4 linked regions of the Elephas maximus indicus genome follow. The protein of the gene in region 2 binds, or shares a complex with, the protein of the main gene of each other region. Links are inferred from orthologs where the notes say so. Each region holds a gene or a part of one and is shown on either strand. Other genes may lie near its edges.

What was found.
Region 1: SNRPG (region 2) and SART1 share a complex: the UniProt entries of both Homo sapiens proteins name them as parts of the U4/U6-U5 tri-snRNP complex. The link is inferred for Elephas maximus indicus from reciprocal best matches to the Homo sapiens genes SNRPG and SART1.
Region 3: SNRPG (region 2) and LSM4 share a complex: the UniProt entries of both Homo sapiens proteins name them as parts of the U4/U6-U5 tri-snRNP complex. The link is inferred for Elephas maximus indicus from reciprocal best matches to the Homo sapiens genes SNRPG and LSM4.
Region 4: SNRPG (region 2) and RBM48 share a complex: the UniProt entries of both Homo sapiens proteins name them as parts of the minor spliceosome. The link is inferred for Elephas maximus indicus from reciprocal best matches to the Homo sapiens genes SNRPG and RBM48.

Annotation. Positions count from the first base shown.
Region 1 is NC_064825.1:129,096,228-129,104,109, reverse strand, and holds the start of SART1 (U4/U6.U5 tri-snRNP-associated protein 1), read right to left. Parts: upstream 3,018-7,882; 5' UTR 2,881-3,017; coding exon 2,568-2,880; intron 917-2,567; coding exon 859-916; intron 268-858; coding exon 212-267; intron 1-211. UniProt on the Homo sapiens protein: Plays a role in mRNA splicing as a component of the U4/U6-U5 tri-snRNP, one of the building blocks of the spliceosome. May also bind to DNA.
Region 2 is NC_064835.1:65,895,205-65,902,042, reverse strand, and holds the start of SNRPG (small nuclear ribonucleoprotein G), read right to left. Parts: upstream 3,019-6,838; 5' UTR 2,924-3,018; coding exon 2,892-2,923; intron 1-2,891. Other genes in the region: protein FAM136A, read right to left, coding at 6,184-6,372. UniProt on the Homo sapiens protein: Plays a role in pre-mRNA splicing as a core component of the spliceosomal U1, U2, U4 and U5 small nuclear ribonucleoproteins (snRNPs), the building blocks of the spliceosome.
Region 3 is NC_064821.1:38,290,619-38,297,640, forward strand, and holds the start of LSM4 (U6 snRNA-associated Sm-like protein LSm4), read right to left. Parts: upstream 3,005-7,022; 5' UTR 2,906-3,004; coding exon 2,903-2,905; intron 1,887-2,902; exon of another isoform or gene 600-1,886; intron 1-599. UniProt on the Homo sapiens protein: Plays a role in pre-mRNA splicing as component of the U4/U6-U5 tri-snRNP complex that is involved in spliceosome assembly, and as component of the precatalytic spliceosome (spliceosome B complex).
Region 4 is NC_064826.1:62,574,229-62,581,346, forward strand, and holds the start of RBM48 (RNA-binding protein 48), read left to right. Parts: upstream 1-4,097; 5' UTR 4,098-4,142; coding exon 4,143-4,253; intron 4,254-4,796; coding exon 4,797-4,987; intron 4,988-6,632; coding exon 6,633-6,778; intron 6,779-7,118. Other genes in the region: peroxisomal ATPase PEX1, read right to left, coding at 3,652-3,780. UniProt on the Homo sapiens protein: As a component of the minor spliceosome, involved in the splicing of U12-type introns in pre-mRNAs.

The sequences.
Region 1 (7,882 bases), on a different chromosome or scaffold from region 2:
CTGTGCCAACTGTGCGTCTCACAGCCCACGTCACACCACTTCACCACAGAGTGATGATGCAGTGACCCATGGTTCATAATGACCAGTGGGGCCCCCCTGCACATGCACACCACATGCCCGCCAAACAGCGAAGAGTCTAAGCTTTAATCCTCCTCTCTTCGAAGACCCCTTCACATAGCCTCCCCCGCCCCATCCTCAGCCCCACACTCACCCTTCTTGACCGCATTGACTTCTAAGGGCTTCAGCCCCAACTTTGCCCGGAGTTTACTGAGAACAAGAAACACAGTGTTAGGGACTGCCAGGAAATGGCGCATCAGATGCATTTCTGGACAGACAGAAGATGGAAACGGAATGGGAATGAGTGGTCCTAAGGCTCCCGAAGGAGCCCTGGTGGTACGGTGGTTAAGTGCCTGGCTGCTAACCAAAACGTCAGCAGCTCGAACCCACCAGCCGCTCTGCAGAAGAAAAATGTGGCAGTCTGGTTCCATAAAGATTACAACCTTGGCAACCATATAGAGCAGTTTTACTCTATGAGTTAAAACTGACTCGATGGCAACCGTTTGGTTTTTTCTCTGTCTCCCAAACACAGGATCTGCCTCAGGCAGCCTGGGCACTGGAAAAGGCGCTGGCCTCAAGAGCAGGGAGCATGGCCACTGGGCCTGGCCTGCCCCAACCCATGGAATGCCACCCTTCCTCTTGGGTTTCAGTTTTCTCTTCTGTCACCAAATGGTTTGCCAAGATGATTCATCTGGCCAGTCCAGCTTTCATCAAAACACTTCAATACAGGAAAGCCCCCCTAAGTGGCTGACCTAGAAGCCACTTGTCTCAGAAGGAAAAAGCAGAAATTCCTAGACTTACTTGGTCTCCTCGATGCTGAGTGACGAGGCATCTCCTGAGCTGGTTTTAGAGCTGGCAGCTGGAAAAACAAGAAGCATGGCTCAGGAGCTGAGCAAAGGGCCAGGAAGCCAGCACCCTGGCTCCAACTGAGGGCAGAGAAGAGGGTCCCTCACCAGAACCTGGCCCTGCAGAGACCCCAGGAAACAGCAAAGACCTGGGCCTTCACCCCAGCCTCACGAACAGCAAACCTCAGATACCACAGAGAAGCTAGACACCATCAGATGGAGCTCCCCAACCAGCTGCTACCACGTGCTCATCTCCCTGTATCCCCACCCCACCAACCTGCCTTCTCCCCTTTTACCCCAAAGATTCCCCTCTCCACCTGGGCCCTGGATCCCAGCCCCTCTGGGCTTTCTCCAAGGTCACCAGCCTCCTGATTGCTAAACCCAATGCATTCTTTTCAGCTCTGGTTTTGCTTGTTCTCTTGTGCTACACGTGCGACACTGTTGATTGCTCCCTTCTAAAAACACTCTCGTTCCGAGATCCCATGACACAAGACTCTTCTGGTTTTCCTCTTGCCTTTTTGGCTGCTCTACCTTCTTTTTTTGGACCCTCGTCCTTCACCCACTTCTAAAATATTGCCATTTCTCAGGTTCTCTTTCCTATTTTGGCTTCTCACCCCATGCTCCCTCTCAGGGGGCTTTACCTGCCGCCTAAATACCCATGGGAAACCCTGGTGGCACAGTGGTTGAACTAGGCTTGCTAACCAAAAGGCTGGCAGTTCGAATCCACCAGCCATTCCTTGGAAGCCCTATGGGGCAGTTCTGCTCTGTCCTATAGGGTCACTATGAGTCGGAATCAACTCAACAGCAATGGGTTTGGGTTTTTTTGGTTTAAACACTAATGATTCCCAAGCTGCCCTCTCTGGGCAAGACCCTGGACATCAAACTCAACAGTCTCTAACACAAAATTAATGATCTTCCTCCACAAACCTGCTTCTCCCATGACCTGTCCCATTTCAACAAACGGCAGCATCTCACCGAGGTGCTTAAATCAAAACCAAGGAGTCACCCGCTACTCCTTCACCACCCACATCCTAGCGCTAAGGTCTGCTGATTCCTCCTTCAAAACACCTCTTCATTCTGTTCACATGTCTCTATACCACTGCTGCTGCCTGGGTGCAGGCCTCCATCAGCCCCCAAGTGTCTACAGCACTCCTGATCTCACTGCCCCGAGTCCTGCCTACCCAGCTTCCAGGACAATGATAATTACAAACCGTGAATCCGATCATCTCACTCCCCATCTCATATACGTAGCTTCTAACTGCCCTCAGGACGGAGTTCACATTTCTTAACTTGGTCTACGGACACTTCTTATTCCAACCACTCAGTGCCTATCTTACAGCCTCCCATCTCTACCATAAACGCTACACAATCCGCCAAATACCAGCTTTGCTCCTGCCTCTGCACATGTTGTTCCCACTTCATTCATTCATTCACTCAACACACTAAGGGTCTGTGATATGCCAGGAAACTAAAAAAAACAGATAATCTCTGTGTCTCGTGGAGATGTATAAAGAGAAACAGTGTTTAATTCTAACAACTGCAGGAAGGCTCTTTATCAAGCGCTAGTGATGAGAGTCTGAGGGTGCCTGCTGGGCCTGCACGCACCGGGACCCCGTCCCCACCCCAGAACCCTGGCCCCGCCCCTCCGGAGGCCCCGCCCCTCACCGGCCTCGTATCCGTCGTCACGCTTCTCCCGCTTCACGCGCCGCTCGGAGGGCTCGGCCTGGCTGCGCTCCCGCCCATGCGCGCTCCCGCGGGCCTCAGCCTCGGCCCCGCGCCGTCCGCTCCCGCGCTCGCCCCCGCGTTCCCGGCTCCGCTTCCTTCGTTCGCCGCCGCTGCTGCCACCGCCACCGCTCCGGTGTTTATGTTTCTTGTGTTCCCGATGCCGAGACGGCTGCTCCGTGGCGCCCCCGGTGCTGGTCGCCGCTGTTGTCCCAGCCGCCTCCTTTTCGCCCCGGTGCTTCTTTGACGACCCCATGGTGGCACGTCCACCCCGAGCCCGGCCACCGCCGAGTCTCGACGACGCAAGATGGGAACACTTCCGGGTCGCCCGGCTGCCGCTGTTCTGTTGCCGGAAACCGAGAGCGACTGTTTCCCTCGTTCGCCTTGGAGGCTACCCCAAAGGCTCATGGGAAGGCCGGAAGTGAAGTTTGACTGCGCAGTCGCGGCCGCTTCGGGCGGGGTGGTGGCCTTGGCGCCGGTGGCCCGAGTGCGCATGCGCTCCGCCAGGTTCCCGGACCTGGTTTGGAGACCCGGAACCGTAGACTCCCGGAGCTGCGGGGATTTAGAGGCGTTCTAATCCAACATCCCTAGAACTGTAAACCTTTCCTTGGCCCCCTTCACTTGCACACCCCACGGGGCGCTCATTGCCACTCGATAGGGGTCCTCCTAGTGTACTCCCTCAGGTGTCGGGCGATGCTGCGTGTCCTCCTCCAGAGCCCCCAGCTCCCACAGTCGGCATTGACCCCAAACGCAGCCTCCTGGCGTCCCCTGGGTTGGATTTTTTCAGTGGAGTCTGTGAACGGCTAAGGCGCTCCAAATGAGCCTGTGTCTAAAGTCCCTGAAATTGAGCGCAAAATTTGACATATCTGTGTGTTGTGTGTATAAGCATATATATATATTTTTTTAACTTGAGAAGAGGGGCTGGGACATTTAGGCCTAGTACACACAATCCCTTCTGACACTTTCCATCCAACAGTTGCCTTGCTGGCTTCTGGGTTCTGGTGGCTCCCCTTGTGGCGCATCTCATACAGGTCATGGTGTGTTGTATGCTTCCCTTTCACGGTGATGACCACCACTGGGCTGGGAGTCCTCAAAGGCCAGGGCCTTGTCCGTCCCGTTCACCCTTGAATTCCTAGGATGCAGCATGTGTTAGTATGTATTAGAGACTGAGGGTGGGGGAGTCAGAACTGTTCCCCTTCAAGCTGCCCCACCCCCAAAAGCAGAGACAACCAGATGGGGAGAGGCTAAGCTTGCTGCCTACCCACTTGCCACCTCCTATTTCCAGCCCCCAGCTGCCCTCCCCCCAAAATCCCACATTGCATTTTCCATAAATCCTTTAATTTTTATCTCAAGGACTAGATGCTGGGTCTGGGCTGGGAGTGGAGGGTCTATCAGGATGGCTCTGGTGAGTCTGGGTTCTGTCCTTGGGAGGCTCTGAGAAGTTTGCTCCATTCTCACCCCTATTGACCTATGACTCCTTAAAGACCACACACAGAGGCCGCATCTCCCCATCCCCACCCCACTCCCATGCCCAAGGAGATCTGGGCTCTAGGAGGGGAAAGACTTGTCTCTGACGATGTGAGTTCAAATCCCAGCTCCTCAACTGGAGTGCTGTGTGACTTCCCTTCTTGCGCCTCAGTTTCCTTATTGTAAAGCGGGCCTTATGACTCCTTCTGTACTGGGTTATTGTAAGGAGTAAGGGATGGTATACTTGAGATCACTGGTGGGGCACCAGCCCTGTGATGGGAGCTTGGGGTGTTACACCGCAGATGGCCATGGAGCCCCAGACTGTCTCTGCTGCTTGCCTGTGTCCTTCGGCAAGGCCCTGTCTTTATTAAGAAGTGGGCAGAATAATCCAGGCCCTGCCTTCCTCAGGTGATGTGGAGGACGGGAGGCCTGGGAAGGCCTTGCTGATCCCTGGGGCTAGGCTGAGTCCTCCAGGAGGGAGACTGAGAAGGATGGCACAGGGCAGCACGGACTGAAGCTTAGATTCAGGGCTGATCAATATGGCTGTCCTTGGGGTTCCCCCAGCCTTTCGCAAGATGTCCAGCCCTAGTCCAGGTGGGGCTGGACGTAGGGGTGGGATTCTGTAGGGTTCTGAGCACTCCTGTTGGGCCCCCTCTCCCCCAACTTGGCAGAGCCAGCTCCTTAGCCAGCCAGCCGGCCTCACCTGGATTTCCTGGAGGTGCCCTCTGTGTCTTCTTTTCCGACCTCTGCCAGCAGCTGTTCCTCATCCAGACCCAGTGCTGACAGCACCTGGGAGAAGCGCCGGGTCACAGTGAGCCGGGCATTGGCCTGAAGAAAAGGAAGATGGGTTCCTGTCCTGCACCGGGGCCACCAAGCTCACAATGGAGCTCTGATCGCAGGAGGTCTCAGAGCTTCCAGGCTCTGAGAGGGCCCACTCCCCATCTCGCTTCCCTCCTCATTCAGCTGGGAGATGCTCTGTCCTCAGGGGAGGTCATTTGCTTGCCCAGTTGCTGGCCTCACCTGCATGGCCTACTGGAACAGGTAGGCCCTCACCCGCATGGCCTACTGGAACAGGTAGGCCCTCACCCGCATGGCCTGCTGGAACAGGTAGGCCCTCACCCGCATGGCCTGCTGGAACAGGTAGGCCCTCACCTGCATGGCCTGCTGGAATAGGTAGGCCCTTACCTGCATGGCCTGCTGGAACAGGTAGGGCCGGGCCTGCACCCTATGCTGGATGCCCCGCAGCTCTGCCTGGTACTCAGCAAAGCGCTGTCGCTCCTGGCACCTGCACGGAGACAAGCCTCAGGGCAGCTAATCTGCCCCCAGGCCCTGTGGTCCCGTGGACACAACCCACCCCCTTCTGAGTCTGCTGTCCTCACTAAGGGCTCTGCTTCCCCCTCCCCCACCTTTATAAAGCCACTTCATCCCCATCCCTGGGTTCCTGGTGAGGTCATCAGGGCGGGAATTATTCGCCCCATTTCACCAATGAGAAGGCTGAGGCTCAGGAGGGTTGAGGGACTTGTCCAAGGTTGACCAGCTGGGAAGTGGGGGACTTGCAGGCTGTACAGCCAGGGCCCACGTGGCCTCCCATCCACCCCCAAGGCAGAGGGGTCAGGACAGGGTTCTGACCCCTGGACATCTGTTTGCTCAGCCTCTCTCATCCCGCAGTCCCACATGCCTACACCCTCTCCTGTTGCAGCTCCAGGGAGGAAGCTGTGGTTGTTGGCTGTGTGACTTTGGCCCAGTCACGGCCCTTCTTTGGGCTTTTGGCTCAGTTTTCTTCCTTCTTGTGGGGTTTGGTTCCTGAGTGGCACAAACTTTGTACTTGCGTGCTAACCAAAAGGTTGACAATTTGAAGCAACCCAGCAGCAGTGTAGAAAAAAAGCCTGGCAATCTGCTTCTACAAAGATTACAGCCTAGAAAACCCTATGGGCAGTTCTACTCTGTAACACACAGGGTGGCCATGTGCTACGTAGGGTTTCCTGTCTTCCTAGGCTGTAATCTTAATGGGAGCAGATTGCCAGGCCTTTTCTCCCACAGAGCCACTGGGTGGGTTTGAACTTCCACCCTTTTTGTTAGCAGCTGAGTGCTTAGCCATTGCGCCACCAGAGTTCCTAATGAGAAGTGAGCTCTCTTGGGTTTTCTTGGCTGTAATCTTTATGGAAACGGATCACCAGGCCTTTCTTCTGCAGCCTTCTGGGTGGGTTGGAACAGCCGATCTTTCAGTGAGTAGTTCAGAGCGAGCCGTTTGCACCACCCAGGAACCAAGAACATAAGTTACTGCAAAAATGGGGTTTTCAGAAGAACTAGGTGGTACCCAGTGACAATTGATGACTACCATGACAGGGAGCACAACAGAGAATCCCTGAAGGAGCAGGAGAGCAGTGGGGTGCAGACCCCAAATTGTAGTGAAAAGACCAGACTTAATGGTCTGACCGAGACCAGAGGGATCCTGGAGGTCATGGTCCCCAGACTTTCTGTTAGCCCAAGACAGGAACAAACCCTGTCATGACAAACCCTATCCCCAAGACTTTGGCTCTCTGGGCTTCCACATTTCCTCTCTGGAGGTCCCCATACTCCCCTACCCAGCCCCTGACCCTCCTTGAGACTCTCATTCCCCTGAGGACTTCTCCCATCCCTCTTCCTCCCCCTCTCCACCCAAGAAGCCTGCTGCAGTCCTGGGAGCGGCAGCAGCAGGAGGAGCAGCAGAGGGCTGCTTCAGACAGGGATTGGACTGGACTACAAGACAGAAAGTGATGCTGGTGAGGAGTGGGTTTCTTGGATCCAGGAGACGCATGAGACTATGTGGGCAGCTCCTGTCTGGAGGGGAAATGAGAAGGCAGAGGGGGACAGAAGCTGGCTGAACGGACACGGAAACACAGGGTGGAGGGAAGGAGTGTGCTGTCTCATTAGGGGAAGAGCAACTAGAAGTCTAAAGCAAGTATAGAAGGTTTTGTATGAGAGACTGACGATGTGTAAACTTTCACTAAAAAAAAAAGGGGGGGGGTTTCCCATACAAGAGAGTATGTATAGCAGTTACGGGGTGGGGAGCATGAGCTGGCTACCCATCTCTGTCTTGCCTGTGATGTCATGTGCATTTTTCCTGCTTGGTACTTTGTGCCATTTCTATTAGGAATAAGAAGCAGCTCACCTCTCAGAGCCCCAAATGAGAAAGCAAGCATTGCCGGGGGAGGCCAACCCTGCCCATGTCAGGAACGAAAGGAGGACACATCACCTCCCTATCACGGGGTGAGGGCGGCAGGCCTAGTCCGTGGGGCCTCGCTGTGGCCAAAGCTCTCTCTTGCCTGTCCCTCCTCAGCAGGGTGGGCCTCCGGTGCTGCTCAGAGTTGACGGGCAGGCAGTGCTGAGAGACCAGGTGGGAACTATCTGCTCATGCCTTAACCCGCTCTTGAGTAGAAAATAAATGGGGCATGGTGAAACCCTCTTCTCCTGGCATCTGCCCCTGGATTTCTGAACCTTAGGCTCCCTGCCTTATTAAAAAAAAAAAACCAACCCTGAACTTGAGGCCTGGCAAGGAGGAGACATCTCCCTAATCACTGGCCAAGGATTCCCCTAAAACCCACTTGGCCTCTGGGAGCCTTGGTTTCCTCATCTGTAACATAGTGGCAGTGAGACTGAGCCACAAAGAGCAGATGCTCAGAGGCCAACGGAGTCCTCAATGGTGGCAGGGCAGGAACCTGCTTCTGTCTCAGCAGCACTTGTCCCAGGACCGAAGGAGCGAGGGGCGGAAGGGGCTGCTCTGGCACCAGCTGCACCCAGTAGGTGCTCCA
Region 2 (6,838 bases):
AAAACAAAAGCAATGTATTTACAATATATTAATCTACATTAAACTAAACCTTTATACTGATGTGAATTATAAAAACATTTTTGTTGCTCAATTTCGACCTCATTTTCAGTGGTTGTATTTTAAAGCCATTAACAGAAAGTGCAGATTTGGTTACATTTTGGTTAATTCCCAAACTGAACAAACCATGTGAGGACATCAGAGAGTAACCAAACTATTACTCAACAGGTATTTTATATTTGAGCCCACAGTCGTTTTAATATTAAGATACCAAGCTTAAGTGTTCAGGATATTCTTCACCACATAAGTATACCTGAGCAAAACAAATGTGTATTTTTTCTTCTAAATAACTTTTTTGTTCTTTAAAATATATACAGAACATACACCAATTCGACAATTTCTACACATACAATTCAATGACACTGATTACATGCAACTTGTGCAACCATTTTCACCCTCCTTTTCCGAACTGTTCCTCCGTTAACAAACTCACTGTTCCCTACGCTTCCTACCTAACCTTTTTGCTGTTGTCAATTTGATCCCAATGCTCAAGGTAGATATTTTTGGTTTAAAGTTTAAAGATTATTCCAGGGAAATAGTTCTCGGGATTCATCCAGCTTCAAAGCTCCAGAAAGTCTGGATTCCATGAGAATTTGAAATTCTGTTCTGCATTTTCCCCCTTTTGATCAGGATTCTTCTATAGTCTTTGATCAAAACACTCAGTAATGGTAGCTGGGCACCATCCAGTTCTTCTGGTCTCATTGCAAAAATAAATATTTTGAAACTAAACAATTTGAATTAAAAAAAGAAAATCCCATCTCAGCAGGACTGTATGAGACTATTAAGTCATGCAGTCAAATCAATTTTTATCTTTTCCAGTTACTCTCAGGCTAGAAAATATAAAATTTCATTCAAACTTAATGTATAGGATATCATGGGAGAATTCACAGATATGTCACAAACCCTAAAAGAAGGTGTAAGTAAACATTTACAGTAAAAATGTTTATACAGTATAATACATAAGGTTATATTTTCATTGTACATATTATACAAGTCACAACATACACATGAACTCATTTAACCCTAGCAACAACTCTGCCAGTTATATACTATTATTACCACCATTTTATGGATAGGAAACTTAGGCTTATTACGGTTAACCAAATTCTCCAAAGTCACACAACAGGTGAGTGAGAAAGTCTCAGCAAACACAAATGGTTCAGTTTGATTGGAGAACTAGGTTTTCAAATATCAGTGGTATAAGAATGGATGATCTCCTTGGTGGTGGATTTAAGAATGCTGTGTTAAGGAGTCTGGACTTTATTCTGCAGAAAATGAGTCCATCACTGTGGCTGTAATTTTTAAGAGGTAAGAGGAAGAATTCAGTTAAGCCAGGGTTATCTCAAACTCAGCATCACTGACATTTGGGGCCAGATAATTCTTTGTTGTTAGAAGCTGTCCTGGCCTCTGCCGGTTAGCTGCAGGCAGCAGCAGACCCCGCTCCCCAAGCTGAGAACCACTGAGTTATCCTAAACCAGGAAGAAGGTATGAAGTTGTAAAAGAAGATGGTATCTGTGATAAAGGAGGAAGAAAATTTAAAGACATTTTAGAGGCAGATCTGACAGGATTTCACAATTCATTAAATCAAGGGATTAGAAGAGCAAGGTATCAAAACTAGTTTCATCCTCAAATTCTGAAATAACATCTACTAAGAATCAGAAATCTAAAATTACAAGTAGAATGATCCTTTTATTAAAAAAAAATAATTACCATTTCATCAAGTCCTGATAAATCCTGAGGATACAAAATTTTATCAGCCCATCAATAAAATAATTTTAGATGATCGTTTTTTCGACAATAATTTCCACTTTTCTTAATGTTAATGTTGGGAGTATGATTTAATACTTAAGCCTTTAACAACTCCAATTAAGATTAATGGACAGAAATTTCGTAAAAAAGTTGGCTTTGATGCAAATGTATATTTAAATGTAAAATTATTAAATATCAATTCTTTCCCAAGTCTGACTTCTTTAAGGGGCTGGTAATAAATAAACTATACATAAGGCAGACCAGGTGGCTGACCCACAAAAACTGATCCTTGGATGCTAACCCTTTGTGCAATCCAACTACTACAGCCAGAATTCTGGCGCTACATGGTATAAACAATATAGAGAAGTACTCAGGAGACACGGAACATGTTACGCTCACTCAAGAAGTGTTTGAGGAGGTTAAGGCTTCAAACTGGGTCCTGTATAAAGCAGGAATATCCTACTTAAAAGTTCCGTTTGATTTTACTGGGTGCGGGGGTGGAGGGGGAAACAACCCTTCTCCCGATTAGAAAAATGAATGCTCTCTCATAATTCCGATGATAATAGCACAAGACGTTAAAGTTTAAGTACAAGAAGGCAAGAAAAAGGAATTGGATTTTTAAGTAAATGCTCAATCAACACAAACACACTCTCTAAGATGAAAGTGGCTTTTGACTCCTCATATCCTATAAAGACTTCCATTCCAGCCACCTTATCCAGAACATGATGCTGTTCACGATGTTCCACAAAGGCTGGCGTCGAGGTCCTCAAGTAACGAGGAAGGCCGTGGAGATGTGGGGCCGGGAGCTCGGGGACAAGGGAGGCAAATGGGCTGCATGCAGGTGCTTTTCGCGGCTTCTGGCAACCAGGCCGAAACGCAGGGTCCGTGCGGCCTTGGGCTCCGAAGCGCAGGGCCCTGACGGGGATCCGGCGGCCTCCGACCGGAGCGAGGGGCGGTGCAGGGGCCCATGCCCACCACTCGGCCTACGCACGCCGGGACGCGCTAAGGGAAATGGAGGGGGCGCCTAAGGCACCTGTGGCACGCAAAGAAGCTGCCACTGCGGCTGGGCCTTGACACTTACTTACTTTTTCAACTCGGGCGGGTGAGCCTTGCTCATCGTGGCTACTCGGGAGGTTCAGCGCCGCGTTGAAACAGAACTCGCGCCCTCCCTCACGCTCCGGCGGTCGGCTGGCGCTTTTGCGTCTGACGTCATCTATCCTGTTAGCCAATGGACTGATGGCAGCGTTCACATTTCACCTCGCGATACTTACCGGAAGCTTGAACGCGCCTCTGAGCTTCAAGCTTCCGGTTGCGTCGTAAGGGATTGGTTAGACAGCCTTTCTCAATTCCGTTTCCCCTTCTGTGAAATTGAGATAATAGTCCCGTCTGGCTTCTGAGCTACACCAGCCAATCCCGTCGGGGTAGATGGCACTGTTCATCTTCGTCATATATATACCAAATGAAAACAGCCCTGGAGTAGTTATGGCTAGCTGCCGTCTAGCCGTCCCCTGATGGTGAACCTGTGCACAATGAGATTGGACCTTTTTCCTTGGCTGATTTTTTTGGACATAGATAACCAGGCTTTCCTTCCCAATCTTAGTCTGGAAGCTCCCCTGAAACCTGTTTGGCATCATAGGAACACGCATGCCTCCACTGATTAAAGGGTAGTTGGAAACCCTGGTGGTATAGTGGTTAAATGTTACTGCTGCTAACCAAGAAGTCGGCAGTTTGAATCCGCCAGGCGCTCCTTGGAAACTCTGTGGTACAGTTCTACGCTGTCCTATAGGGTCGCTGTGAGTCGGAATCAACTCCAGGGCACTGGGTTGGTTTTGGTTTTTGGGGGGCTGTGCATGAGGTGCGTTGTCCTGGAATCGAGCTTGGACCTCCTGCATGGAAGGCAGGAATTCCATCACAGAAACTCCACTCTCTCCACCCACCCCTGGAGGAGCGAATCCCTAATGCTTCCTTGGCATTTATCACCACAGCACAGTATCACGTCAAATCCAGGGTTGCAGTAAGCATGAATTAGTGACCTCTCTCCACTAGAGTGACAGGGCTTCAGTCTCCAAGAATTTGTATCTTGAGCCCTGAAATGTATTCCCCATTGATGGCCCAGCAATTCTTGGAACACTGCCTCTATTTTGTAGTCATTCATAGAACCCTGCTTAATGTGCCATTGCCCCCACATATGAAGCGTGAGGTGTGGCACACAAAGCTCTGTATTGAGGTACCCATTTTCCACATCAAGCACACAAGTGTAAAAGGTGGTCCCTGACTTGTTCCCAGTTGTGAGGCTACTCCAAAACAGAAGAATCCACATTTATGAGTAAAACATAGCGGGGATGACAAAAGACTTAGGCCAAAATAGTAGAGTTCATTTCTGCTTTAAATACCTTGCTGATTCTAAGCAGGGGTGGTTCTCCAAAATTTAAATTCATTCCTAATGTTCGAGAACGCCTGCTGAAATACCAAGTACAGTAAGAACTTAAACTCATCAGTTATTTTGTATTCTTTTGGTACTCACAATCCTAGACATTGGATTTTCTCTAGACGGGTCAGAGCTGTGTACCTTTTCCACATGTTGCCATTAGTGTTTAGTTGAAACTAGAGACCTGACATGGATACCAAGTTTTTTTTTTTTTTTTTTTTTCCATTAATGGGCTTCAAGTCATAGTGCCCCAACCTTCCCTCAAAGTTTTTCTCATTTACAGTTGTCTTGCATCTGAACCATAACACAAAATCAATACTACTCTTCTGGACATCTTAAGAACTTATTTCACACATTACAAGGAGAAGCACCCTGAGAAAGTACACATTTGTTGTTCGGATATGAAGAAAGAAGCACAATAGTGTGGGGAAAATTAAACCTTATTTATTTTTTCTAATTAAACCACTAGGAAAATATATCACAGCCATGAAACAGCAGACAGGCTACAATAGCACTTCAAGTAATAAATTGGTAGAAAGATGACAAAGGCCTTATCAAAATGGTAAGGCGTCACTGAAGCAGGAACACTGCGCACTGCAGAGGCCTCAGGCAGAAAGTGGTATTTGGTAATGGGGGGCTGACCCTCCTTTGCTCGAAAGGAGCCACAGCTCTCCCTAGCTCCTGAGTTACTTTTCCTCCCTTGACTTTCATGTTGCCAGGTATTGGCTTAACAGGGCTGTTATTTCAGGGGGCTAAGCAGGCAGCTGGACACATCATCAGGAAACACCAATCACTCGAAAACGACGTTATGTTGGTAGAGCGCCAACAAAAACGAGGAAACCCTAAATGAGACAGATTGCCACAACAGCTGAAATAATGGACTCAGACATGCCAATGATCATGAAGACGGCACAGGACCAGGCAACACTTAGTTTTGTTATACATAAAGTACCATGAGTTGGACCCGACTCGATGGCAACTAACAACAACAAAAACAACAAGAAGTAAGTAATGCTGGGTTTAGGCCTTCATTTCATTCAGTTATATGAAAAACTAGGTTTATCCAAATCCAGCACAACTTTCTTAATTAAGCAGCCGACAGTTTCTCTTTCATCATTCATTCCCAGATATTGGTATGTATCACAATCAAAACCCCTTTTCCTTCAAATGAGTAGTGTCATTGCAAGATTGTCCTGTCACTCTACTGCAGACAGCCTCAGAGGCCACCAGAGCAGCCAGCGAGAAGGAAGTTCTGCTTCCCATACCCAGTGTGACACGGTCTCCCGTTTTTGCACGGTCCCAGGCTGAAAGGTGCAATATATGAGAATTTCAAGAAAAGCACATCTTGACAGTCAGATGGCCAAAGAGCCTTTCAAAGTTTTCATCCAACTACCCTGTCTCCCAGCTTGACATCTTAATCAATATCAGGCTCTTGGATATAAAACAAAACTAAGCAAAACAAAGACCCAGATCTCTGTTTTCCACTTCTGCATTACTGATCTTATGGATTCTGTTTTACAGCTTATGGAAAATGGGGTGGCGATACTTCTTGTAAACAGGAGGTTGGCAACAAACAGAAATACTCTCTTCAAACACCACCAGGTCATAGGTAGGCTGGAGGAACATGCCAGCCTGTTGGTACTTATGTGAGAAGCAGAATCTGGTGTGTTGGAGGCTCTGGCTTGATACAGCTGCTAGGATAAGCACTTGCCACATATAATTTAGGCTGTAAATAACTCTCCTGTGCTACCTACAACCCAAATTTTAGCACCAGTTTTTCCCACTTTACTTGCTATGGATTAAAACCTATAAAAGAACCAGCATCCACAGAGCCAGGTGACATAGTCCTTAAACTTGCTGCCATCCTTAATTTCTTCATTCCTAAACCTCACTTAAAAAACCAAAATTCCCATCCTGCCCTCATTCACAATGGCCACTAGCAAAGACTTTTATTTTGCAATGGATGAGAGAGACTCCTTCATCTTCTTGGTCATGGACGGGATGAGATGCATGTGGTCATCCACACACTTGGTCACACAGCTCTCCAGCTGCTGCTTCACCACAAGTTCCTTATTCCCTGCATCCATTGAGTCTCTGGCTTTGTCATTGCAATGCATGGTACACCGGGCCAGGCGGTCCTGTGGTAAGAAGGAAGAAGGCAGAAAAGGCTGAGAGGCTGCCTCCATTTACCCTGGGCTACAGGCTTGACATACGTTATCTTGACCAATTAAAGAGACACTGTAGTGCAAGTTGGGGCCCTGCTGACTCAGCTGCTAACTGGTCAGCAGTCTGAACTCACCGGCAGTTCCTTGGAAACCAGATGGGGCAGTTCTACTGTCTCACAGGGTTGCTATGAGTCGGAATCAACTTGACGACAATGGGTTTGGTTTTGGGTAGTACAGCTGGAGTCCCCAAGTGGAGCAAACAGTTAACGCACTCAGCTGCTAACTGAAAGGTTGGAAGTTCGAGTCCACCTGATGGTGCCTTGGAAGAAAGAGCTGGTGGTGATCTACTTCCAAAAAATCAACCACTGAAAACCCTACGGAGCACATTTCTATCCTGACACACAAGGAACTGCCATGAGTCAGAGCTGGCTGATGACAA
Region 3 (7,022 bases), on a different chromosome or scaffold from region 2:
CACTTCACAGGGCATCTGGCACCCAGAAGAGGGACCTGCTAGGGACACAGCCAGGCCCCGGGGAAAGCTGAGGGAGGCTAATGTCTGCTGTGGCCATACAATTTGGACATCCTCCTATGGCATTCGCGGGACCCCCACACCCGTGACGGCCACCCTCAGGGCATCACGTGGCCCAGCGCAGCCAGGGAAGACAGTCCCCTCCCTACCAAGCAGGTGGAAGGAATGTCTGGGACACAAATGGGGTCAGCCGCACCCTGCTCACCACCCTCCAGTAGGCTCCCCGGTGCTTCCCAAGCCAGGCCCGCCCAGCTCCAGCTACTCAGCCTCCTGCTCCCCACTCCTGCCCAGGCCACCTGCCCTGCCCCCTCCCCTGATCTGCCCACAGTGTCGGCGCACACATTCCTAATAACCTCATTCAGGACCTGAGGTTTCCACTTCACATACCGCTGTTTGTCACCATCTAGAGACTTACGCAGTCTCTAATTAGCTTGTTTGTTTATCAACTGCCTCCCTGGCTAGACTGGAAATGCCAGGTCTCTGCTAGACTGGAGAGCTCAGAGGGCGTGGGCTTTGCTGAGCTCAGTGCCAGGCACAGGAGACGGGCAAGGTAAACATTCACTGAAAAAATAAACGACGCACATTCCTCAAGTAAGCACACAAGATGCATCGGGATATTCTTGTCCCCTCCCATAGAAGGAAAAGCAGGGACTTAGATGGGGAGACTACCACCCGTCTGTCAGTTTGTCCTACTGTGGTGGCCTGCATGTTGCTGCAAAGCCGGAAGCTATGCCACCAGCATTTCAAACACCAGCAGGGTCACCCACGGCGGACAGGTTACAGAGGAGCTTCCAGACTAAGCCAGCTAGGAAGAAAGACCTGACAATCTACTTCTGAAAATCAGGCAATGGAAACCCTACAAGTCATAACACAATACCGTCCAACTTGCTTGCTTTGGCTATGTTCTCAGGAGAGATCAATTGCGGGAGGAGGACATCATGTTTGGTGAAGTACAGAGCCAATTAGGGTGTGGGGGACCCTCGGTGAGATGGACTGATATAATTGCCACAAGGATGGACTCAAACATGCTGGTGATTGTGAGATGGATGCAGGACTAGGCAATGTTTCACTGTGTTGTACATAAGGCTGCCGTGACTTTGGGTCAACTCAACAACAGCACATGATAACTACATTTGGGAAGTGGAGGCGCCAGGATTGGGGTTGCTGACCTCCAGCCAAGGCAGCTCTCTGTGGGCAGTGGTCCTGTCTTGCCTCCTTCTGCATTCTTGTCCCCAAACTGTGCTGGAGAGAAAAGCAAGATAAACGGGCCGGGTCCTCAAGGACTTGAAACTTCGTGGGAAAGAGGAAGATGCGTGAAAGTGCTGAGTAAGACAGGAGAAGGCTGGTTCAGGGGAGACAGGGCCACCATGAGGCAGGAAAATCACAAAATTTTGAGGAAAAATCATTCCTTTCTCAGATGTCTGGGACCTGGAGTTCAAGTCTAGACCCACTGAGGAAGAGTTCCAATGGTTTCTCATCCAGGACCCTCCCTCCAGCCTGTCCCTGACCACAGGCTGAATGCATCTCAATGCATCCACTCTCTGAGCTAGGAAATGCCTGGAGGGTCAGGGCTCAAAGAGTCCATGTCTCAAAAGTGGGAACAGCATGGAGTCCACGCTTTGCAAAGGCCCGTTCTAGGCTCCAGGTCCTGGGTGGTACAAGCGGTTTGTGCTTAACTGCTAATTTAAAGGTCGGCGGTTAGAACCCACCTAGCAGTTCTCTGAAAGGCCTGGAGATCCCCTTCCATAATATTACAGCCAAGAAACCTTATGGAGCACAGTTCTCTTCTGTAACACGTGGTGTCACCATAAGCTGGAAACAACTGCAAGGTAAGCTTTGGTTTTGACTCTAGTCTCTAGGGGGCCCATCAGGGATTGGAACAAATATCCTGCCTCACGGAACTTAATTTTTGATAGGTCTTTCTGGTTTTGCCCAAGCCCTTGTGCCATCTCTGTTTCTGTCCAGCAGAGATGCCTGTTCCCTTCTCTTGGTCTCTACACCAGCCAGCAGGATTTAGGGCGAGCTCACCACAGCCCTTAGCTCTGAGAAATGTGGAGTGACACCTCGGGTGGCTCCCAATTACAGAATTCCTGTCTCCCAGAGTGGACACTAGAAGTCACTTCTCCACCGAGGGCCTCTACTTCTCTCCCTAAAACGGGAGGGCCCTCTCCCATTGCTGAAATTCCTCTGCGTTGGGCCTCCATTTTCCTGCCTATTGGGTCCATAGCCCCCAAAAAACACGTGCACTCTCCCTGGGCCTCAATTTTTCATTCTGTGAACCAGGAGAATACATTTAGTCGACGCTGAGCTCGAATCTACCCAGAAACGACAGGCTGTATGACTCAGGAAAAGGCAATCCCTTCTCTAGGTCTATTTTCCAGCCTGAAAACGGAAGGCAAGACAAGAGATACTGCTATCATACTGGGCACGTTCCAGCCCTGAAATCCTTGGAACCTGCTTAACTGGAGAACTCACACTGGCTCCCCGCACCCCAGTTTCCACTCTATGCGGTCGGGGCTCCTTCCCTACCCGAAAACCCATTTTGCGGCATTCACGGTGCACTAGGCGGGTTCACAACCGCTCGGGCCTCAGTTTCCCCCTCAGGGAAATGCAAAGCACTGCGGTCAGGCTGCTATAGGATGACTGCACGTCCGTTTAGCCCTAAATCGCCCGAGACCGACCTGCTGGAGAACCTGGCCTCAGTTTCCCGCCACGGGCCCAGGGGCGGGGTTCGAGGCCGGGACTGCACTCTTCCCCGCACCGCCCCGAGGGCCCCTGGCGTTCGCGTCCCCCCGCCTCCCGGCGAAACCCCGCCGTCACGACCACGCTGTCGCCCTCCCCTCACCATGGTGCCGGCGGGGACCGGGCTCGCCGGCCACTTCCGCCGCCGCCGCCGCCGCCGCTCGTGCTGTTAGCAGCCCCACTGCGCGCCACTAGGCTAAAGAGGATTGGCAGATACACGAGCCAATCACCGCGGGGGTTGGGGAACGGACAACCATTCCCCGCGGAGGTGGGCGGAGCCTATTTGCGCGAGGGGCGGGGCGAAGCCGTGTTCGTGCAGGAAAAGCCGTAAAGTCCTACGACGAATGCTGCGAAAGGGCGTGAAGCAAGGCGCGCCTGTGCAAGCGGCATTTTGGGTAAGGACGCATGCGCAAGCCGACACCCTCGCCAGTCTCCTGGGCGCCACGCGGTGGGCAAACCTGGTATTGCCTTCCGTTTGCCAATGACTAAACCTCGAGGCCCCTTGGTTGTTCAGTCCGGCTCTGCGTCGCCCTTCGGGACCGCTAGTCTTGTAATTCTCACGAGCAAAGTTGATACTTATTTAGGGCACGTGTTTTAGTACGTTGGAACCCCATTCACACCTCTCCGAGCCTCAGTTACCCCACTCCAAAACTGGTATAATGATAGTACTTGCTCTAGAAGGTCAGGTGAGAATGAATCGAGTTAAGCCATGAAAAAGCACTTAGAACAGTATCTGGCACATAGTAAGCACTTAAAACATGTGCATGCAACAAATATTTATTAAACAAAATGGACAAAACTCCCAGTCCCCCAGGGGCTTAGGAGCCAGTCAGCGAGATGATAAATAGGTACATGTTTTCTTTTCCTGGGGCTGCCATAGCAAATGGGCACAAACTTGGTGGCTTAAAAACAGAAATTTATTCTTTCGCAGTTCTGGGGCCAGAGATCTGAAATCAAGGCATTGGCTAGGTTGATTCCTTCTGGAGGTTCTCCCTCTCCTTTCTCTTACAACACTTGTCCCTGGATTTCCACCACCTGTCTGTTAGTGTGTCACATTGTGGTGGCTTGTGTGTTGCTGTGATCCTGAAAGTAAGCCACCAGTATTTCAAATACGAGCCCGGTTGCCCATGGTAGACAGATACCAGCAGCGCTTGTAGATTAAGACAGACTAGGAGGAAAGACGATCTACTTTTGAAAATCAGCCAATGAAAAACCTATGGATCACAACAGAACCTTGCCCAACTCCCTTGCCTTGGACACACTACCAGGAGGGATCAATCGCTGCAGAAGGACCTCATGTTTGATGAAGTATAAAGCCAGCAAGAGCGAGGGAGACCCTTGGTGAGTTGGATTAACACAACACCCTCAATGATGGCTTCAAACATACTGGCAATAGTAAGAATGGCACAGGACCAGGCAACATTTCATTCTGTTGTACATAGATCACCATGAGTTGGAGTCAACTTGATGGCAGGTATCGATCTATGTATCTGTGTTTGATTTAGGGCCCACCCTAAATCCAGGATAATCTCGATATTTTTCATTTAATGACATCTCCAAAGACCTTATTTCTAAACAAGATCCCATTCACGGGTGCTCAGGGTTAGGACTTGGACATATCTTTTTTTAATAATATTTGTTGTGCCTTAAGTGAAAGTTTACAAATCAAGTCAGTCTCTCACACAAAAACCCATATACACCTTGCTACACACTCCCAATTACTCTCCCCCTAATGAGACAGCCCGCTCTCTCCTTCCACTCTCTTTCTTCGTGTCTATTTTGCCAGCTTCTAACCCACCCCCCCGCCTCATCTCCCCTCCAGGCAGGAGATCCCAACATAGTCTCAAGTGTCCACCTGATCCGAGAAGCTCACTCCTCACCAGCATCCCTCTCCAACCCATTCTCCAGTCCAATCCATGTCCGAAGAGTTGGCTTCGGGAATGGTTCCTGCCCTGGGCCAACAGAAGGTTTGGGGGCCATGACCACCGGGGTCCTTCTAGTCTCAATCAGACCATTAAGTATGGTCTTTTTACGAGAATTTGAGGTCTGCATCCCACTGCTCTCCTGCCCCCTCAGGAGTTCTCTGTTGTGTTCCCTGTCAGGGCAGTCATCAGTTGTAGCTGGGCACCATCTAGTTCTTCTGGTCTCAATATGATGTAGTCTCTGGTTCATATGGCCCTTGCTGTCTCTTGGGCTCGTAATCACCTTATGGACATATCTTTTTGGTGGCACAAAAGAGAGAAACCCTCAATGAGATGGATTGACACAGTGGCTGCCATAATGGGCTCAAACATAACAATTATGAGGATAGTGCAGGAGCTGGCAACGTTTCTTACTGTTGTACATAAGGTCACTATGAGTCTATGAGTCGGTATTGGCTCGATCGCACCCAACAACAACCCCATCCACAAGACCCTGTTGTATTGTTGCTGGGTGCCATCGAGTCAATTCCAACCCATAGCAAGTCCATGTGATAGAGTAGAACTGCCCCATAGGGTTTTCTTGAGTGTAATTTTTAATCTTTACAGAAGCAGATTGTCAGGCCTTTCTCCTGCAGAGCCGCTGCGTGGGCTTGAACCTTCAACCTTTCTGTTACCAGCTGAGTGCTTATCTGTTGTGCCATTGGGACTCCTTAAAACTTGCTGTGGAGTCAACAGAGACCCTCTGATGATAAGGTCCCTAGGTGGCACACACTGAGCTCAGCTGGAACCCAAAGGTTGGTGGTTTAAACCCACCCAGCAGCACCCAAAGCAAGGCTTGGCATTCTGCTTCCATAAAGATTACAGCCAAGATTACTTCTACTCTGTAACACACAGGGTTGCTGTAAATTAGAATTGACTAAGAGGCAAAAGACAACAATAACAGCTCCACTCGCTTTAGCAGGTGTTAGCTATAATGACTCCTGTAAACGTAGATGTCTATTTGAATAGTTAATTTCTGCTCCCAGGTGATCTCCTGTGTAGTTTCATACGCTTGTGAGCGTGACTGCAGCCTCAGTCCCAGGAGAGTCCCGGCTGGGTGGCCATGCAGGGCTCTAGCCTCTGGCCACATGCCGTCAGGTTTGCAAACGGAGCAATAGGTACCCCCCTTCAAGGCCCACACCTCTCCTGGCCAGCTGAGCCTCAGGAACAGCCTGTGAGCTTTTTCTCATCCAGCCCTGGGCCAGGGATTCTGGCTGAAAGGACTGCTTGACTCTGCACAGGAAGCCCTTAGAGCTCGGCTTCTCAATAAAAGATTCCCCTGTGCCAGGCCGCAGAGACTTGGGCAGAGGGGACTGGAACTTGCAGATCTAGATGCCTCCCACCAGAAAGGCTTAGGCAGGAGGCACTAAACCTCTTCCTCTGGGGCCTGGCTGAGGGGAGAAGGGCCTGAGCACCCGGCAGAAGGAGCAAGTGGTCTCCTTCCCTTCTCCTTGAAAAGAGAAATAATTACCTGTACCAACCAGGAGCCTTGGTGGCCCAATGATTAAATGCTCAGACGCTAAGCAAAAAGTTGGTGGTTTGAACTCACCCAGTGCCTCCGCTGGAGAAAAGACCTGGCAGTCTGCTTCTGTAAAGTTTACAGCCTAGGGAACACTAGGGGCAATCTACTGTATCCTATAGGGTAGCTATTAGTCGGAAGCGACTCGATGGCACACAACAATAATGGTTAATGCCACCACCTGTCTCAGTTTGTCATACTGTGGTGGCTTTGGTATTGCTATGATACTTCACCAATGGGCTCAAACATAGCAACAATGGTGAGGAAGGCGGCGGACCAGGCAATGTTTTGTTCCGTTGAGTCAGGGCTGACTCGATGGCACCTACCAGCAACAACGATTCTGAAAGCCATGCCACTGGTATTTCAAATACTAGCAGGGTCACCCATGGTGAACAGGTTTCAGCAGAGCTTCCAGATTAAGACAGACTAAGAAGAAAGACCTGGAGATTGATTTCTAAAAATCAGCCAATGAAAACCCTATGGATCACAACAGAATATTGTCCAACATGGTGCTGGAAGATGAGCCCTCCAGGTTGAAAGGCACTCAAAATACACAAAGGCCTCAACAATGGACTTGGGCATACAAACGATTGTGAAGATGGTGCAGGACCGGGCAACGTTTCCTTCTGTTGTATATGGGGTCATCATGAGTCAGAGCCAACTTGATAACAGCTAACAATAATAATGATTAATGACGCTGAGCATCTTTTCATGTGCTTCTTGGTTTTGTGTGTCTTCTTTGG
Region 4 (7,118 bases), on a different chromosome or scaffold from region 2:
GCAACTAGCAAGATGAGAGAGGAACCTTAGGGGGCAGTGAATTTATGTTAATGGGGGAAGAACAACTTAGTAAAGGAGGGTGAGAATGGTTGCACAATGGGAAGAATGTAATCAAAGTCACTGAATTGTACGTGTAGAAACTGCTGAATCACTGTATATTTTACTGTGTATAGTCTCAACAACAACGAATTAAAAAAAAAAAGGACAGGAAAGAAAGAAAAGACAAAAACATGTCAGAAGAGACTCTGAAACTTGCTCTTGAACACAGAGTAGCTGAAGTGAATGGAAAAACTGATGAAGTAAAAGAGCCGAACAGAATTCTTTCTAAGGGCAACCAGAGAAGACAAAGTATTATAATGAAATGTGCAAAGATCTGGAGTTAGAAAGCCAAAAGGGAAGAATACACTCAGCATTTCTTAAGCTAAAAGAACTGAAGAAAAAATTCAAGGCTCAAGTTGTAATACTGAAGGACTCTATGGCAAAATACTAAATGATGCAGGAAGCATCAAAAGAAGATGTAAAGAATACACAGAGTCACTGTACCAAAAGGAACTGGCTGACATTCAACCATTTTGGGAGGTAGCATATGATCAAGGACTGGTAGTACTGAAAGAAGTCTAAGCTGCACTGAAGGCGCTGGCAAAAAACGAGGCTCCAGGAATTGACAGAATACCAACTGAGATGTTTCCACGAACATATGCAGCACTGCAAGTGCTCACTTGTCTATGCCAAGAAATCTGGAATACAGATACCTGTCCAACCAACCGGAAGAGATCCATATTTATGTTTATTCCAATGAAAGGTGAACCAACAGAATGTGGAAATTATCAAACAATATCATTATCACACGCAAGTAAAATTTTGCTCAAGATCATTCAAAAGTGGTTGCAGCAGTACATCAACAAGGAACTGCCAGAAATTCCAGCCAGATTCAGAAGAGGACATGGAACAAGTGACATCTTTGTTGATGTCAGACGGATTTGAGTTGAAAGCAGAGAATACCAGAAAGATGTTTACCTGTGTTTTACTAGCTATGCAAAGACGTTCAACTGTGTGGATTATAACAAATTATGGGTAACTCTGTGAAGAATGGGAATTCCAAAACACTCCATTGCACTTATGCAGATACTTGTACATAGACAAAGAGGGAGTCATTTGAACAGAACAAGGGGATACTGAGTGGTTTAAAATCAGGAAAGGTGTACATCAGGGTTGTATCCTTTCACCATACTACTGAGCAAATAAGCCAAGAAGCTGGACTGTATAAAGAAGAACACAGCATCAGGATTGGAGGAAGACTCATTAACAGCCTACAATATGCAGATAACACAACCTTGCTTGCTAAAAGCCAAGAGGACTTGAAGCACTTACTGACTGTCCTAGTTATCTAGTATTGCTCTAACAGAAATACCACAAGTGGATGGTTTTAACAAACAGTTTATCCTCTCACAGTCTAGTAGACTAGAAATCCAAATTCAGGGTGCCAGCTCCAGGGGAAGGCCTTTTCTCTCTGCTGGGTCTGGAGGAAGGTCCTTGTCATTAAGGTTCACTTGGTCGAGGAACTTCTCCACCCAGGAACCCTGGGTCCAAAGGATGCACTCTGCTCCCGGTGTTGCTTTCTTGGTGGTATGACCTCCCCATGTCTCTCTGCTCACTTCTCTCTTTTATATCCCAAAAAAGATTGACTTAAGACACAACCTAACCTCATAGAATGAGTCCTGCCTCGTTAACATAACTGCTGATAATCCACCTCATCAACATCATTGAGGAAGGATTTATGATACATAGGAAAATCATATCAGATGACAAAATGCTAGACAATCACACGATACTGGGAATCATGGACTAGCAAAGTTAACAGATATTTTGGGGGGACACAATTCAATCCATGACACTGATGAAGATCAAAGACTACAGCCTCCACTATGAATTACACCTCAGCATAAAGAAAACAAAAATCCCCACAGCTGGACCAATAAATAACATTCTGATAAATGGAGAAAAAATTGAAGTTGTCAAGGATTTCATTTTACTTGGATCCACAATCAATGCCCATGGAAGCAGCAGTCAAGAAATCAAATGACATACTGCATTGGGCAAATCTGCTGCAAAAGACCTCTGTAAAGTGTTAAAAAGCAAAGCTGCCACCTTGAAGACTAAGGTGTGCCTGACCCAAGCCATGGCGTGTTCACTGGCCTCATTTGCATGCAAAAGCTGGACAATGAATAACAAAGATTGAAGAAGAACTGACACATTTGAATTGTGGTGCTGGCGAAGAATACAATATACTATGGACTGCCAGAAGAATGAACATGTCTGTCTTGGAAGTACAGCCAGAATGTCCTTGGCAGCAAAGATGGCAAGACTTCATCTCCCATACTTTGGACATATTATCAGGAGAGGCCAGTGTCTGTAGAAGGATATCATGCTTGGTAAGTTAAGAGGGTCAGCAAAAAAGAGGAAGACCTTGGATGAGATGCACTGACACAGTCGCTGCAACAATGGGCTCAAACATAGCAAGGATTGTAAGGATGGTGCAGGGCCCAGTAGTGTTTAGTTTTGTTGTACATAGGGTTGCTATGAGTTGGATCCCGCTAGATGGTACCTAACAACAACAACAAAGTGAAAAGGTGAGATACTTGACATTATTGCAAATTCTTAAAATATTTCTTGCATGAATTATCCAGTGTGGATACCATGCATTCAGGGTTCTTCAGGATTTAAAATAAAATTTTATCCTTTTGCCCCCATAAGCGCACTCATACTTTGTGAGACCACATGCCTGTATGTTTAATTATGAAAACACAGATGCTGTATTTCTGCCCGTGGTTGGACTAGCGAAACACTACAACATCCAAGTAATCTTTCCAAGTATACCTAATTCCACTGCACGTTCTGGCACATGGCGGCGCAGGGAATACCCATCATTTTATTAACCTTTCTGCTTTCCGCTCCTGGGAGGTGTTCAGCCCGTTAACACACAATAAAAACCAAAACCATTTCCATCGAGTCCATTCCGACTCATACTGACCCTACAGATGAGAGCAGAACTTCCCCATAGGGTTTCCAAGGAGCAGTTGGTGGATCAGAACTGCTGACCTTTTGGTTAGCAGCCGTAGCTCTTAAACACTGTGCCACCAGAGCTCCATTAACGTACAGGGACTCCACAAAGTCTGTCTCCTCCCTCTCGAGGCCCAGACAGCAGCAGTGCAGGTACCTGGAAATCTCTGGCAGGGAAAACATTTTTAAAACGATAAAATAAGCGACTTTTCAAAAGCTTTCCCAACGCGGAGTGAGAAGTATTTCTGAACGCAGAGGTAGACTTTTTAAAAACAGGTAGAGGATTTTTAAAAGCCCAGTTTCACCGAGTGAGAAGACTTGGGATAAGCAAGGTAACTTAATGGCCCGGGGCTGCACGAGGCATGGGGGTGGGTAGCATGGACTGCTCAGACCGCCCTGCCCTCGAGGGGCCTTCAATCTGACCTCTGCACTGGCCAGCGGCGCCGGGAAGCCAGTGGTGCCCCTGTAGGCTCCCCCGCAGCGGAGAGCCCTGAACAGCTGCCGTATCCCTACAAGGCCTCGGCCACCTCCGACTCCAGGCGACTGTCGCGGCGTCCCTGGTCCGGGCCCCGCCCGGGTCCGGAGCGTTACCTGCAGCAGGTGCAGCTGGGCCACTAGACGCCGAGGCAGGTGGAGGAAGCAGTCGCGAGCGTTGGTGAAGGCCACTGTCACGGCTACCCCGCCTCCCCCCGCACACGCCAGTCGATCACTGCCCCACATCGCCGGCGAGCACCGCTTCCGGGCCGCCCTCCCTAGAGCCGGGGCCGACCTGGGACGGGACAGGCGAGGGCCTCGGTCCCGGAGAAAATCGATTGGCCCTTCCCCCTCTCCGGCAGCGCACCCCACCGCACGCCTGAGGGGGTAGAGACAGGCTAGCCTTCACTCACCCTCCTTGGCTCTCCGCCGCGCCACTAGGGGGCGGCATCTTGTTCACCGTATCTTCTCTCGCAGGAAACGATGGCCGACACTGTCGATGCTCCAGCCAATCCGGTCACGTCTTGACGCATCCCGCTTTCTTATTGGATGAAAGGGAGGTCAGCAAGGCAGATGTTGTCTTCTCTGCGAGTGCCGAAGCTAACAACATGGCGTCGAGTAGTGGGGAGCTTGGGAGCTTATTCGAACATCATATCCAGAAGGCTGTATGCGACACGCGGGCTAAGTATCGGGAGGGACGACGGCCCCGCGCCGTCAAGGTAAAGTAATTTTGTTTTTTTCGCTTTCTTGGTAGCTTTACGTATGTGTGCTCGCTCCGCCTTCCTAAAAGTGTAAATAAAGGCTTGACAAGGCTGTTTGTTGTCACGTCCGTCCCTCATTGGAGTTGAGTGTGAGTAACCGCGAAGCAGGCACCAAAGCTCTCTTTTAGTCAACCACTAAGACGTTAGCTCTGCATAAGCAGGATTTTGTTTTATTCCTTGTATTTTCCGTGCTTCAACAGTGCACGGCACGTGGAAAGCACTTAAATATTCGTCGAGCGAATCTTCCCAGAAACATGAACCGCTTCTACCGATCTAACGTCTGGAAAAATTGTCGACTGAAGGTAGACTGATGTGTGCTTTAGTCCGAGGCCCTCAAACGTAGGGTGAATTATTTATGCAGAACGTGGCAAAGTTTCTGATTCTGTATGTTTTCTGCGAACTGTGCTGAACAGTATGTTTTCAAAGCTGTTTAAAAAAAAATAGGACGTTTGTTCTAGGCTTATTTGTGAAGTATGTTTAATGAATCTGCATTTCTTTTAGGTATATACAATCAATTTAGAATCTCGGTATTTATTAATACAAGGAGTTCCAGCAGTGGGAGCCATGAAGGAATTAGTTGAGCGATTTGCCTTATATGGTACAATTGAACAGTATAATGCTCTAGATGAATACCCAGCAGAAGACTTCACAGAAGTTTATCTTATTAAATTTCTGAATTTACAAAGTGCAAGGTAATATGCAAGTTAAGCCATGTCTTATTTCCTCCATTCCCATTGCTATCACTCTGGCCTCAGATTTCCCTCATTCTTACCTGAACTAATCCTGTATTTCTCATATCATCCTTCCGTCTTCTTAAAGGTTATTGTTGTGGTGGTGTTTGTTAATTGCCACTAAGTCAACTCTGACTCATGGAGACCCCATGTGTGAAGACTAGAACTGTTCCACAGGGTGTTCAAGGCTGTGACCTTTCAGAAGCAGATGGCCAGGCCTGTGCTCTGAAGCATCTCTGGGTGGGTTTGAACCACCAACCTTTTGGCTGGTAGTTGAGTGTTTAACTGTTTGTACCACCCAAGGACAGTTTCTTAAAGGTTAGCCTTACCAAAACACTGCTCCCATCATGTCATTTCCATGCTTAACCATTTTTTACAGTGTAGTATAGTAGGCGAGAAATTGGGTTTGGAGTAGATTTTCCAGTCCCACTGCTTTTATGACTTTGGACCAGTTATTTAACCTCTCTAAGCCTGTTTTCCTCTTCTGTAAAATCCATTTGTAAATCTCTTGAGGTTGGGTCAGGATGAAATCAGACAATTCATATAAAGCGCTTAGCATAGCACCTCCTATTCAGAATGCAGTAACATTAACTATCGACGTTCTTATTGTTATGGCCGTGTGTGGATTGACCCCATCTTATCCAGCTTGCTGTGTAATTCTCTGCTCCAATAAGGCTGAAGTATGAAATGCCTCATCTGTTTTTCATGTTGACCCTTACTCTTGTCACTAATCTGCTCCAAGAATCATTCTTCCCTGGCTAAAACAGTTGATATTTTTTCGGTACTACCAATAGCACTCATACTATGTCACAAAAGCACTTGATTCTATAGGATTATGATTCTTTTAAGGCAGCTCTTTTATGTAATCTCATTTCCCAGCCATCTTGCCAGCACCCCATGGTGTTTTTTAGAGCTTTTGCATCTTCTACAGCACTTAGTGCAGTGAACTTTAGATTAGACATCTGGATTTGCATATTAGCTCCACTGAACCAGCTGTGTGACCTTGCCAAGCTATATAATCTCCCTGTGCCTCTAATTCACCATTGGGTTGTTTTGAGGTGTAAATTCACTTGAAGCACTGGGGACACTGTCTGGCATGTGGTAAACAGTAAGTGTTTCTTATCGTTATCCCTGGACACAGTAGTACTATATTTACAGTACCTATTATTACAATATTTTAAACTACTTTTTAATGTATGAATCTGATTATAGGAACACAATGTGCTAAAGAGGCTAGTTTGGGTATGAACTGATTCTCAAGGGCTATTTAGCTTAACACAGAGAAAAGCCCTATTTCATGGCTACAGATTGTGTACCTCAGGCCAGCCAACTAGATTCTAAATTGGCTAAAGGAAGTCTGGGTATATGTGGATAGCTTAAAATCTGTTAACACTATTGGAAGAGGTGGCAAAAGTCACCAAAAGTATGTACCACAGTCCTGGATCAGTAGGGTTAGTACCACCCACAAGCAGCACATCTTAATTTCCAAACCAGAGGAGGTGTGGGCACATAACAAAAGGTGGACTTTGCTCTTTAGGTCAACCTATTGTATAATAGTTAAGCTTAAATCTTGATTAATAAACCATGCTATCATGTATTTGTTTAGGACAGCAAAGAGAAAAATGGATGAACAGAGTTTCTTTGGTGGATTGCTTCACGTCTGCTACGCTCCAGAATTTGAGACAGTTGAAGAAACTAGAAAAAAGTTACAAGAGAGAAAGGCTTATATAATAAGAACTACTAAAAATAAAGGTATGGAAAGTCTGTTTAACTAAACGCTTCCTATATGTCAGGTACTCTACTAGGTATACCACCATGGAGTTCCCATGGAAGGAGAGGCAAGTAAACAATCACAATATTAAGTAATTGTAAGCCACAGGCTTCTGTGAAGCACTTTACGTAAACCGGGCTGGGAAAGGAGACATGTTGGTTCATGGAAGATTTCCTACAGGATGTGAGAGGTGCCTGCGTTTTGAATAAGTAGTAGACGTTAGCTGGAAGGAGAGAGGAAGAGATGGGAAGGTAGGCTAGACTGCATGTTTAAAAGTAAGACATACCGAATAAATGAATAGGAAAATAAGAATAGTGTTAC